3 linked regions of the Canis lupus familiaris genome follow. The protein of the gene in region 1 interacts with the protein of each later gene in a pairwise test. Links are inferred from orthologs where the notes say so. Each region holds a gene or a part of one and is shown in the gene's direction. Other genes may lie near its edges.

Region 1 (4,602 bases):
GTTGAAAATAAGGATTAAAAATTATAAACATATAATGTGATAGACTCGTTCCTGGGTTTTTATACTAAAGAGGACTGAAAGACATCATGGAGGAGAAATAATTAACGTCAAGAGGTAAGGCTATTGATCTTCATTTTCCTTTTTTCAATAATGAAACTTAGTTTCTTTTATTTTGTGGGTTTGTTTTTTAAACCAGAGACATGGGGACTGCTGTTGTATATTTATTTCAGAGCTCCCTGGACTTGATCAAAGCAAAGCGGTCCTTCCTCTCTCTTCTATACCTTTTACAATTTTCTCTGCCTTCCTCCTGCTGATCTACAATCCCTGGAATCACTGCCATTGGCAGTGGTTGGAAAGGCCTTAATTCTTCCATTCTTAGTGGGGCCAGGGGACGGCCAGAGGCAAGCGACAACGGCAGGTGGCCCACCAGTCTTCCACCAGCCCTTCGGGTGGCACTTTATTTCACCTTAGGGACACTTAACAAGTAGTACTATCCTCTGGTGAATTTTTGCAGAATAAAAACAGAAATGGGGGATCCCTGGGTGGCGCAGCGGTTTGGCGCCTGCCTTTGGCCCAGGGCGCGATCCTGGAGCCCCGGGATCGAATCCCACGTCGGGCTCCCGGTGCATGGAGCCTGCTTCTCCCTCTGCCTGTGTCTCTGCCTCTCTCTCTCTCTCTCTCTCTGTGACTATCATAAATAAATAAAAATTAAAAAAAAAAACAACAGAAATGTTTAAGAGGTACTTTGTGAACCACCTGAATTGCTTGGTTATTTTCTTTTCCAGAAGACAGGCCCACCCTCTGAGTTCGTAGGAGAAAGTGAATCATTTCTATATCGGAGCGTGAGCGACGCCCTCGGCAGCGATGACTGACATCACTTCTCAGGACCTTGACGACAAGCTTGCCCTTCAGCTTCTACATCTCAAATTCCTGAGTCATGCTCTGTTGTTGCTGCCGCTCTAGGAGCGAATTGCGGCAAGGACCCAAACAAAATGACGTGCGCGCGCGTGGTGAAGGAGGGTCACGGTCGGAGCGCGCCAGCCCAGCGCCCAGGAGCGGGGGTGCAGACGAGGAGCAAAGGGCACAGTGCAGGCACCGGGCACTTCCGTACCGGGCCAAAGGCACCCGACGACCCCCATTCTTTCTTCTCCTAGATTCCAGATCCCAATAAGCTGGAAAGAGCTCGATTTTCGCCCCCTGTGTTTGTTTTTGGATCCAACCAAGAAACAGCGAGCAAGAGGGAATAAGATATCTTTAGAACGTATTTTTTTTTTTTTTTTTTGCATCCAAACCACTTTTAATGTCACAGCCACACAACGAAATTCGAAGTAAAAAAGTTATATGTTCGCAATACTCCCGACGCAGGAGAGTTCGGACAGAGGGAGAGGGGAGCGCGCCGAACCGGACCGACTTTCGCCCTCCCCCCCCGCCCCCCGCTGCCGTCCGAAGGCTGGGGGCGGGGCGGGGAGGCGGGACGTCATGACGTCATAATACCAACGCGCCGCCGTGTTGTTTTTGTGCTCGAGGCTCCGGGGAAAATCCGCCGGGATTTCTCCACCTGAGCGACTCCGTCTTGCGTCCGAGGGGACCCGACGTCCCTTCTGCAAGCTCTGCCAAGGCGCGTGGCGACGGGAGCTGACGTTTCTCAGGCGGTTCTGACACCTACATCGAAATTCGGCAGGGGGAGGCGAGGCGGGAGAGACGCAGCCACCCGCGAGGAAGGCAGGCCCCGGCCGGGGAATCTTAGAAACCCTGCGGTCCATCATGAAGTTCCAGTACAAGGAGGACCATCCCTTTGAATATCGGAAAAAGGAAGGAGAAAAAATCCGGAAGAAATATCCGGACAGGGTCCCTGTGAGTGTAATGGGGGGCAGGGAAGAGGAGGGGGGAAGGGGCTGAGCGCGCTTGGGGGAACCCGGGAGTCGTGGTGGCTGCCCTGAGGCACAGAAGAGGGGTGGTCTCTAGGGTTGCTGAGCCCCTGGAGAGCCGTGGAGCGCACGTCCTGATTGCGGACCCTGCACGGCCCGTCTCCCCGGGGCCGCTCTCCCCGTCATCTTTAGAGCGGAGCCTCCGTTTGAGTGACTCAGCAGTATTCAGAGGATGTGCAGGGTGAGAAGTGACCAGAACGTGGCCCTTTAGTGAGAGCAGGATCGAGATGGGACCATACATTCGCGTCCTTCAGAATCCCAGGGAAATTGTTCTGGAAATAACTTGGTGCAGTGAGGTTTGCGGCCATGGATTTCTGCCTTCGATGCGTCTCCCTGAAGTTGACTTTGGCTCTCAGAACATTGGGTTTGGGAGGGATAGATTCAGAAATCAGTGGATCCTTTCTTTTATTCCATAAGAATGAGAAAAGTGTCTTTGTTGGGGGGGGGGGGAGGGGAGGGCACGAGACAGGCCTGGCCCAGAAAACAAGGTCACGTTCTCTGCGCCACAGCCCGATTGCCTCATCATTCTTGGCTCCAGGGGCTTGTGAGGGTGCAGCCAGCCTCCCTCCTGTACTTATTCTATCAGATTGTACCTGGACACAACCATGAAGGACTGGGGCCTTTTGCTTCCGTCTTGGAAGCTGGTTTCTGTGGTTAAAATTAGTGCCGGCAGTGGGGAGAACAGAGAAACATTAAGGTAGCTTTCTGCATCCGGGCGCTTTTTTCGTCGCCCCATCCCCCGCCGCTTGCCTGTTTTTTTTTTTTTTTTTTTTTTTGTAATGTAGGCTGCGCAGCCAGATTGGAAGGCAGAAGACTTTTGAGTGTGGTGGTAGAGGGAACAACCACCGTTGGGTTTTGGAGATGGAGGAGCAGAGGCTGTCAGATTGTACTATCTTCAGGCAGGGACATTGGGATAAAGATGACGTATTATGTACAGGCAAAGTAATTGTGATTATGTGTTGTCAGTTCTTGACCTGCAGGTACTCTTTGGGACTCTTCTCCAATCCTTACCTAATTTTCATCGTGTTACAGCTACTGGAAGCAACTTGGGCCTTAATGCCTGCAGTAAAACTCCCCTGCAGTCCTTTATAAGGAAGCGAGACTTTAGGTCTGTTCCATTCCCCACGAATTGTACACAAGGGTTTTCAGCTAAAAAGGAGATCTAGCTCTATTACCCACCCAGTAAATGATCCTTCACAAATTACTTGTTTGGTATCTGGACTTTGGGTGACAGCTTCAAAAGTTTGCCCCAATTGTGGTGGTAGCAAGCCTCCTTTCGTCTAATAGTTAAAAATGACAACTAACTTTCATTGGTTGATTGTTTGCTCTATACTGACAGTATTGCATGTCCTCTGACCTTACTCAATCTTCACACCGTTATAATCCCATTCTACAGATGAAGGATCTGAAGCACAGAGAAATGACGGATTCCTAAAGGTTTCCTGTGGCTGGTGTGTGGCAGAGCCTGAGATTCCAACTCTGGTTGTTGGACCTTCCATGCCATATCGTTTCTCAATTTCTAATACAATTCTCTTAATTAAGAATTAAGGAAAATTAATCTCAGAATTAATTAAGGAGGCACTGTGTGACTCACACTGTTAGGTATTGGAAATTAAGAAAAAACATTGCAGCCCTAGAAAGGTCAGAGAAGTATGATGCCAGAAAGGTAACCCACTGAGCAAAATGACTACCATTTATTCAGAACAGTATGAGGCTCTGTTCCAGTAGCTCTGCCTAAGCCACAAACTCTGAAAGGTACCTGTTCCTAAATCTAGTTAAAATTCCCATGTATTTCTTCAAAACCGAGCCCTTGCCATTTCAGTCTCTTACATGCATTCACCCAGAGTATTTCAGCTAATCTTCCCTATTCTTTTCCTGCTCATTGTTTGGTGTTAAAAATGTTTGGCCTGTGTGATTACTTGTCAGCTCTTAGAATCATCACTCAGGTCTCATGGTTCCTTCAGTTGGGTTTTAACCAGTTTATAAGCGTTCCAGCTGCTCCTTAGGTGCTCAGCCTGTGACCTTCTTTGTGGTCGTGATGCAGGAAGAAGAGCTCTGCTCTCTGAGTTGTGAGATTTAGTTTTGGGCCAGATCCTTAATCTTGCTGTACTAAAGTGTACAGAAAAGAGGGTTAGTGTAAGTGATTTCTAAAACCCCTTCCAGCTGGGCCATTGGTATTTACCAAAGCAATCAGGTTCCCTGACTGCTCACATAACTCAGTTTTAGTTAGGCCCCTCCTTATCTCTTAGCTACCATCCAAAAGAATGGATGTGCTCCTGCCTTGAGAGGAAAGGTTTTCTTTGGATCTTAAAGTATCTGCATAGCTACAGTGTATTGAAAACCTTCAACACTGCAGGAAACTGTTAGGGACATATTGTCTATTCTTTAAAATTTGTAAAAGCCCTTGTGGAATATTGGCCGTATTGCACAGAAGAAAAAAACACGTCGAGAACCAAAGAGGAAAAGCATCTAGTCCAGGGCCTATGAGTAGAGTTGGGGTTGTTGGAAACCTAAGATATTTTCTGGTAAGCCAAGGCCTTAATGATTACCCATCCCCCTCCTGTTCATCTCCAAATCCCAACCTCCTGTCTGGATATCTTATTTGCAGTATATTTTATTGCCTCTTTTTCTGCTCTCTTTTTGTGGTTTCTGTCACTTCTTACTGATGGGAGCG
Region 2 (4,066 bases), on another chromosome or scaffold:
TTCAGTAGCAAATGGAAAAAAAAAAGTTGGATGCAGTTCACCCTCTGAAGACTGTGCTGGCTACAAAGTTTAAAACTTTGATTTCAGAACTATTAGAAGCAAAGAAAACAGAAGATTCTGGAGACAGTGGCCTCTGGCTTCAAGAATACTTCAGTTGTGAAGTTAAATAGTGTCTAAAACCTTGAGAGAGAAATTTGTGTCTTGGAAGCCAACTAAGTCCCAGAGAGCTGTCCCATGAGACAGAGTTCCTAGAGCTGAGGGAATGGGAGAGGCACATCCTGTCTACAGCGGTGATCATGGAGAATCTTTGCAGTTGTCCTGCATCCTGGGATAAATAGACTCTGCAGCATTTGCGGGGGCGTGGGGAGATTGGCATGCCTGAGGCACAGAGGGGCTTCCTATAGGTATGATTATTTTAGTTTTGGTCACAAAGAAACCTTAAACACAGAGGTTATTCGTTTTTCTAAAGGTCAGTGTGGACTCTTTGAAGGTTGTGTAAAAATGACAGCATGCAATTTCTTTTGAGCTTCCTCAGTTGTGAATTGTGTGTATTTCCCCAGTGCACTGTTGTGTGTCTGAATAGCACTTCCCTAGTGAGACTCTTTCGCAATGTTGCCAAAATACATGAACCAAAGCCGTTGCTGTCTGTGTAGAGATGAGAGAGTATGGCGTCAGGGCGGCCTAAGGATATACCTCTGGGCTTTGTAGTGACCTCAGTAGCTGAACAGACCAGAAAAGCCTTTTCTGACATTGTTTTCATGTAATACTTATCTAGCTCCAGCCTCCGGGCTAAGTCAGTTCCTCAGTCAGCTTGTTATTTTGCTTATACTTTACACCCACAGAGACTTTGAAAGTAATGTCTCTAGATGCCTTTGTCATCAAAATCGAAGTTAATTAGGAATGTGCTAACCCGATAGCCCCTGCCTTTTAGCTGGAACTCCTTTGTTTTCTTTGTAACATCGTAGTGGCAGTAAGAGGGCAGTGAGGTAATAAGCAGTTACAAACATGACTTTCATACATTTTTTTTCCCTCAAAAGACTGGAGCTGGGAGAAACAGAAAGAACAACCCAGAGAATACCAACGGATCCTCCAGTGCTTCTTAGATAGAAAGGACTGTTGCTACTCTATCCATCAAATGGGTAAGGTCACATCAGTGGTCTTGAGGCAGTGTTCTGTACCTTCTGCTTTCATCCCCTGCCTTATATGGGCTCTGCAAACTTGTCCATCTGCTTAATTATTCATGCAAAAAATTAGGAGTTTGTGGCATGCTGGAAGAACTTTTGCTAACGTCTCTTTTTTTCCCCCCTCCCCACATAAAAACAGCACAGATGGGTGTAGGAGAAGGGAAATCAATTGGCGAATGGTTTGGACCAAATACAGTTGCACAGGTATTAAAGTAAGTAAAAGAGCCTGGCATCCGCCTTACAGAACTGTCTCCTGTGCCTCCCTCTTCTGCCAGCTCAGTGTCCCATCAAGCTAACTGTTCTTGCCATCACTAAGCCACCAAACATCTGTATCATTTTGCTTGGACAGTTCTTTGAAATGTGCATGTGTGGACATCTGTTCTAGTATTATCAGAGTTATATCCATCTGTACCAGTATATCAGGGTGAGGGGGGCACCCCAAGACTCCCTCAATATCCATTCCCTCTCCAGGTTGGTGCTCGCCTTCCAGGGGACCATCAGCCTGAGGGTCACTTTGAAGCCAGAGGGCTAACACTAAGTGGTGGAGGCTGAGACAGCCTAGGCAAGACAATGGACTCCCTCCCACCCCGTAGAGTGTAAAAGACCTCACTCATTCATTTGTTCCTTCAATATTTACTGAGTGGCCCTCCTGTGCTACCTGCTGGGTATCTAGAAATAAATTAGATGCAGCCCTTGCCTCAGGGAACTCACGAATAGACAAACCTCAAGGGCGTCAGTTTGTCATCTCTTAGCAGACTCCAGGTCCGCTTTGGCAGTTGCTCTGTCAAGTTGCAGAATTCACCTCCCATGGCAAGAGGCAAGGTGGAGAATTGGAGACCGACATTTTAATTTTAATTTTTAAGTAATTTTAAAAAGATTTATTTATTTGAGAGAAAGCGAGAGCATGAGCAGGGGGAGGAGCAGAGGCTAGAGGGAGACGCAGACCCCCTGCTGAGCAGGGAGCCTGACACAGGGCTCAATCCCAGGACCCCTGGGATCATGCCCTGTGAGCCAAAGGCAGCCGCTTGACCCACTGAGCCACCGAGATGCCCCATAAGCCTGACATTTTAGAAGGGAATGGCGTGAGTGGCATCAGCATTTACATCTGCAGGCCACCTCACCTGTTGTCACTTTCCTTCCTGACAGCCTGCCACTGAATGAAAACTCCATGAGGGCAGAGATGGTATTTGTCTCATTCACTACCATAACACTAGCACATAAAACTGCCTGGAGCATACAAGAGTTCAATAAATACTTGCAGGATGAATGAAGATGGCATCCAGAGTCTGGGGCTGGATTTAGGCATCAGAAGGTTGAAACCATCTGGACTCCTTGGGTGTAGCTTGCTTCTTCAATTCCTGGGCTCTCCGGAGGATGACAGTGGGATCCGCTCCATAAAAAGTACTGAGGGAGCACTGTTTCAGTTATTAACCACTCTTCAATGATCTAGAAGGCTCTGGAAATGTGCTCATGTGGGGAGTAGGCTGGATTTCCTGGGGACTCAAGGGGGAAATCTGTATCTTGGCTTTATTCCTTGCTAAGATACCAACCCCCCTGAGACCACTTTCTTGCCTTAGTCCATAGTTCCTTTTGGGGGATGGTTGATTCTGCCGAGTGAAGATCCGGCAGTATTTCAGGAACCAGCATAGGAGCCCCAGGTAGAAACTGTAGAAGGTGGGACGCCTGTGTGGCTCAGTGGTTGACCGTCTGCCTTTGGCTCAGGGCATGATCCCAGGGTCCTGGGATCAAGTCCTGCATTGGGCTCCCCGGAGGGAGCCTGCTTCTTCCTCTGCCTGTGTCTCTGCCTCTCTGTGTCTCTCATGAATCAATTAATAAAATCTTTTTTAAAAAAAGCCTGGAAGGTGAATCAGAAGGGCTGTGCTGCACCCCAAACTCAGCTGGAAATGGCTGGAGGCCCAGAGATTTTTACATGATGTCCCTCAGAATTTGCTTTTTTCTTCTAAATTCTGAAGTTCTTAACAGCAGACAAATGGAAACATACATTTTTAAAAGATTTTATTTATTTATTCATGAGACACACACACACACAGAGAGAGAGAGAGAGAGAGAGAGAGAGAGAGAGAGAGAGAGAGAGGCAGAGGGAGAAGCAGAGAGCCCAATGTGGGATTCGATCCTGGGTCTCCAGGATCAGGCCCTGGACTGAAGGCAGTGCTAAACCGCTGAGCCATGCGGGCTGCCCAAAACATACATTTTTTAAAGAATTTAGGTGAGTTTTGATTCATTGTGATTGTGACCATTAACAACAGAATATAAGTACATCAGGGAAAGGTGATATCTCAAAAGGAATGAAATTAAAGTACAATGGTAATTAGTCTCTTCCTGGGAGCTACTTTGGTTAGGAAAAGAATATATATATATTTTTTTTCTTTTGTCCAGTGAGACTGGACTTTACCCAAGAGTCCCAGAAGTACCCAGGTTGAATGAACATGCCTTCTTTCAGACAGGCAAGAGGGAAATGTAAGGGAGATATGGTCATGGTGCTTTACTCAGATCCTGGATGATCCCTCTGTCAAAGGGGTTTTCTTTCTAACCTTCTCCGAAGTCACACAGTTCAGCGTACTCTCTCAGTTCAGCATACTCTTTCTCTTCAGCTGCTGGCCAATGAGGCACCATATCAAGGCCATCTGCAGCCCAAATCTCTTGAACAGCTTTCGTACTGCATTGTGGGAGGGGTGTAAGAGATCTCTCTCTCTCTCTCTCTCTCTCTCTCCATCTTCCTGGGCATATTCTCCATATTATGTGCTCCCAAACATGCGTGTATGTATTTACATATATATGCATATATATGTATGTATGTATATATGTGTATATATATGTATGTATATATATAATTTATATTTTTATGGAAGTTTCCTGTTTTG
Region 3 (4,804 bases), on another chromosome or scaffold:
GATTCTGGTGGTCAAATGCCTTTTTGGGAGTCACAATATCTGAAACAAGGTGGAAGCTCTCTTCTGCGGTCAACTGATGAATGGAATGACTGTATAGGCATCCTGATTCCTGTACCCAGTCTGGAAAGGGGAACTTCTCCACTGTCCTTCAGTGGCTGAGTCCTGGCTCCCCTGTACAGCCAACTTTGGCCTTCCTTCCTTGTCTTCATCATCCCCTGGGTCTCTTTGCCTGAGGGGACATTTCAGCAGAATCTGACAGATATCCTTGGACTGGTGGAGTTATGCACAGAAATGATGATGACTGAACTTCTCCATGAGGGTTCAGGTTCTTGGGGGCTCTATAAAGAAGGCATCCCAGTGAAGGGAAAGTGGATTTGCAGGGATTAATAAAAGAGAAAGACAATGTCAACTCCCGGCCCAGCGCCGAGGCCTGAGTAAGGAGAGTGTCTTACTCATTGCAGGTAATAACCACGAAATACGGATAATACCTGAGATGCCAGTCTGTGTGTCATCTCAGAGAAGAATGAAAGGAACAGAATGAACAGAAATATTCTATTTACGTATATTAAATCATTAATATCTGATGGCCCGGTCTTACTCTAATTGGATTGTTTTGCCACTTTATTTGGATGCGTCATTCAGAATTTCTCCTCTCTTGAAAGAAGACATGTCTTGAGAACGATGCCCACAGTAGCTCTAGACTTTATTATGAATAATCCAGATGCATAATCGCACTGAGGAGGCACACCCTTACTGCTAAAGCTAATCCGCACAGCTGCTAGTCTTAGGGCCGCCCAGGAGAGGCTGATTGAGGCTCTGGGTAGTTGGTGGTCGGGGAGCCTCGGCTGGGGGCGCGGCCCGGGCAGGGGCGGGGCGCCGGGGAGCTCCCCGCCCGCCGAGCCCGCGCGCTCCGAGTCCTTGCAGCGCACGCCTGGCTGAGCCGCCGCGGGCCGTGGGAGCCGCGCTGAGCCGCGCTGAGCCGCGCTGAGCCGCGGGGACCGGGCTGGGCTGAGAAGGTGCCTCATCCAGGGCGCCGAGCTGCGGGCGCGCCGCGACTCCAGGGCTGAGACCGCTGCGCGGGTCTCCGGGAGCCGGAGGTGGGCTTTGGGCTTTCGACTTTCTAGGAGCAGCCCTGGGGAGCGACGGCTCCTTGCTCGAGAGCTCTTCGTGTCTGGGGGCTCAGAGCAGCAGTCTGGGGACGGTTTCACGGGGCGGGGGCGGGAGGAGGGGTCGTACCTAGGAAGGGGTTGGAGGGGATTGCAGGAGCCGGGGAAGAGGAGCGAGCGCTGTCCGCTGTGCTAGTCGAGCGGGTAGCGCCAGGCGCCCGCCTTTTCCCGCCCCCGGGGACGTGCGCCGGGTGGGCATCAGGCTGGGCATCAGGCTGGGCATCAGGCTGGTCCCGGCGCCCCGGGCCTGCTGGCCCCCGGCGCTGGCCCGTGTGCCGCCAAGTTTGCCTCTCCGGGTCCAGCTTCTCTCGCTCTCGCCGCCCCGCAGGTTCTGCCTCTGCTCGCCCTGCACCTGCGGCCGCCGGACCATGGAGTCCCCGGTCCAGATCTTTCGCGGGGAGCCGGGCCCCACCTGCTCCGCGAGCACCTGCCTGCTCCCCAACGGCAGCGGCTGGCTGCCCGGCTGGGCCGAGACGGAAGGCAACCACAGCGGCGGCTCCGAGGGCGCGCAGCTCGAGTCCGCGCACATCTCTCCCGCCATCCCCGTCATCATCACGGCTGTCTACTCCGTGGTGTTCGTCGTGGGCTTGGTGGGCAACTCCCTGGTCATGTTCGTGATCATCCGGTGAGTGCGGGTCCCGGCGCCGCAGTGGCTGGGGTCGGGAGGGAAGGTCCGCCTGGCGCCAGGACGCGCGGTTGGGGCTCCAGCCCGGTGGCGGGGCTCTGCCCGCGGTGCAGGACCTCGGAGAGCCCCCGAGGGCGGCCTCTTTGAAGTAAAGGATTCCTGGAAGAGTTTTGGGTGAGGGACTCTGAGGTTGCACGGGGGCGAATAGAACAGCCAGGGGAGTTTTGAGGCTTTAAATGACCCTCCCATCCCTCCCCCCCCCCCCAAAAAAAAACCCTTACTGAAAACTATGGTTATGGAAAATATTAGGGTGTGGAGCAAGGTCAGCGTCTTCTGGAAAGGAAACTAGTTCCTTTGCCTGGCCTTTTTGCCTGGTTGCCCGCACTAGTTCGGAGCACTTTGTTCTGTCCTTTGCAAATATTTTTTAAGGTAAAATTCAAGCCCATTGAATGCACTGGAGATAATTCAGAATTTCCTGTGACTCATCAGATTGGTGTTACGGTTTATAAGCAAAAGCCGATATATCCTTAGGGTTGTTAGTATCCATCCACGCGCCATTTTAGTACTGAAATGTTATCTCATTTACTTAGAATTTCAGTGATTTTTAAAAAATAAGCCATCTAATATTTATCCTCTAAAGTGTGGATTGTGGAGGTTTTCAAAAATTGCTTTGCTTCTTATTTTCCATGGAGAGAAACTGATGATTTTATTTTATTGCTCTTTGGTGTTACATTGAAGTCAGCTTCTATTATAAACATCCAAATACCCACCCATATCTGCTAATTTTCTGGTAGGTGAAGTGATTTTTTATTTTGGCCTCTTTCAACAACAACAACAAAAAAGAAAAAAGAAAAAAGAAAAAAAGAAAAAATCTCAACTTTGCTTTCGATACTCTTTGATATAAATATTTCACTTTCTGGGAGAGTTAATGCTTTGGAAATACACCTTTGAGAGTGAATAAAGAGTTTACATTCCTTTGAAGAGTTCCTGTGAAATAAGGGACACAAGTCACTCAGAGTCACTGTTCATTGAAGTGATGAATAAAAACTACATCTTTAAAAAAATTCTAGCTTTAGTTTAGTTCTTTATTTATTATAAACCTTAAGAACATTATCTATAGCATGAGTCTTGGGAAATCATCATAATAAAAAATGCCCATTCATCTGTCTATCCAGGTTTGAGAATTTTATCTTCATCTGTACTCCAGAACTAAAACCCATCATTTAAGCTTCCAAATACACATTATAAAGCTCATTTCATCTACAATTAGCATTTGTAGCTTGGTAGCCTTGGTTTCCATGATTGTGTATTGCATTTTATAGGCATCCTATCTGTGACAAGTAAAGGCCACAGAGGGAGGAAATATTTTAAAAGCACATTGTTTTCCAAAGTCTTTAGTAATTTCAGGGCTGCTCTCCATTAGAGAGAAGATTATAGCAACCAAAAGAAAAGAAGACAGCTGTGTTCTCAATTACAATTAAAAGTTTTAGGAGATCTTTGGTTCAGAGGCTGTGAGTTTGTAATAAAACACTGCTACACAAAAAGAAGATGCTAAGAAAAGAAACAACTCTGTTCCTACTTATATCATATTTAAGTGCATGAGTAAAATGAATACATCTTATTGTTATTTGAAAGAGCACCTGAAGTTCTGAGTTTGAGAAGAGCTTCTTAGTTGTTAACAACTGTTTATATAGCCCTACAAAGTAGGATAAAAAGGAATGAAGAATCCTAAAATATGTGCAAAGACAACTCCATGGGGAACAGTAGAAATGTCAGAATGAAAACAGAATTATGTATATATTTTTAATATATTTTTTAAATATTCAATTTATTTATTCATGAGAGACAGAGAGTGAGAAAGAGTGAGAAAGAGAGAGAGGCAGAGACACAGGCAGAGGGAGAAGCAGGCTCCATGCAGGGAGCCTGACGTGGGACTCGATCCTGGGTCTCCAGGATCAGGCCCTGGGCTGAAAGTGCACTAAACTGCTGAGCCACTCAGGCTGCCCAAAAACAGAATTATAGATTAACTAGGACTTTTAATGGCGGATATGAATATGAAGAAATAGAAATGAAATATAAAAATATATAACAATTATATGTAATTATATATAATGAATAATCACCATTATAAATAGTAATATAGTACTCATCAATTGTTCATATATTTATATAATATATACAATATATAATTTTATATATGTGCTTCTGTGTGTGTGTGTGTGTGTGTGCATCCAAAAGATATCCAGGATCAAAATTTATTAAAAGATAAATTCAGCTAAAAATCCAAAAAAAGTTAGCTGGTTCAGGTAACATCATTCATCCTCCCACCTCACTCCCAACTGGTTGGAAATGAAGTATGAAAAGTGAGGAATCATCCTGGAATGCCAATGTACTGAAACATTTGTTTCCTTATATCTATAGCTATGAGGATTAAGGAGTATTTGGTATTGGTTAAGACTGAGAGATGCCCAAAGAGTTGAAAAATAAAACCTCAAAAGGAAGGTTAGTAGAAGTGGGTTTATTTTGCTCAGAAGAAGAAGGAACTGAAGACTTGAGAGAGGTGGCTAGTGTCTGCACACCAGAATTGAGAGCAGAACGGGAATACGGAATTCAAATGCAACTTTTATAATTGATGTTGAGGGCTGAGCAACATTGCTTAAAAAGATGGAGGACCACTTTTGAGGACACTATTTTAAAACACTGTTCATTGAAAAGGGCCATGGTTCAGTCATTTAGGACATCATTCTAGAGATGGGGTTTAGATGCTTGGATGTTGGGGCAGATGTAGTCCAAGATGGCCTGCTCAGACCCAAGGAGAAAGCTAGGGTTGTGGAAAAAGCTGTGACTATTTTTAGACCTGTCTTACAAATAGCTTTCCCATCTTGGATGCCTGAAATGCTGCCCAGTATCCTCTGAGTATATTTAACATTTCAAGGGTTTTCATCATTTTATATGTACCAACTACCATAACTGCCTAATATTAGGGCATAGGAACTTTTCATTGTGAAAACCT

The links.
Region 2: the proteins of GABARAPL1 (region 1) and ATG4A interact in binary tests that used the Homo sapiens proteins (3 or more experiments, as listed by UniProt). The two-hybrid records come from large-scale screens. The link is inferred for Canis lupus familiaris from reciprocal best matches to the Homo sapiens genes GABARAPL1 and ATG4A.
Region 3: the proteins of GABARAPL1 (region 1) and OPRK1 interact in binary tests that used the Homo sapiens proteins (3 or more experiments, as listed by UniProt). The link is inferred for Canis lupus familiaris from reciprocal best matches to the Homo sapiens genes GABARAPL1 and OPRK1.

What each region holds. Positions count from the first base shown.
Region 1 is NC_049248.1:10,352,051-10,356,652, forward strand, and holds the start of GABARAPL1 (gamma-aminobutyric acid receptor-associated protein-like 1), read left to right. Parts: upstream 1-1,482; 5' UTR 1,483-1,764; coding exon 1,765-1,854; intron 1,855-4,602. UniProt on the Homo sapiens protein: Ubiquitin-like modifier that increases cell-surface expression of kappa-type opioid receptor through facilitating anterograde intracellular trafficking of the receptor. Involved in formation of autophagosomal vacuoles.
Region 2 is NC_049260.1:82,285,618-82,289,683, forward strand, and holds part of ATG4A (cysteine protease ATG4A), read left to right. Parts: intron 1-1,037; coding exon 1,038-1,139; intron 1,140-1,323; coding exon 1,324-1,396; intron 1,397-4,066. UniProt on the Homo sapiens protein: Cysteine protease that plays a key role in autophagy by mediating both proteolytic activation and delipidation of ATG8 family proteins.
Region 3 is NC_049250.1:5,350,593-5,355,396, reverse strand, and holds the start of OPRK1 (kappa-type opioid receptor), read left to right. Parts: upstream 1-1,534; coding exon 1,535-1,791; intron 1,792-4,804. UniProt on the Homo sapiens protein: G-protein coupled opioid receptor that functions as a receptor for endogenous alpha-neoendorphins and dynorphins, but has low affinity for beta-endorphins.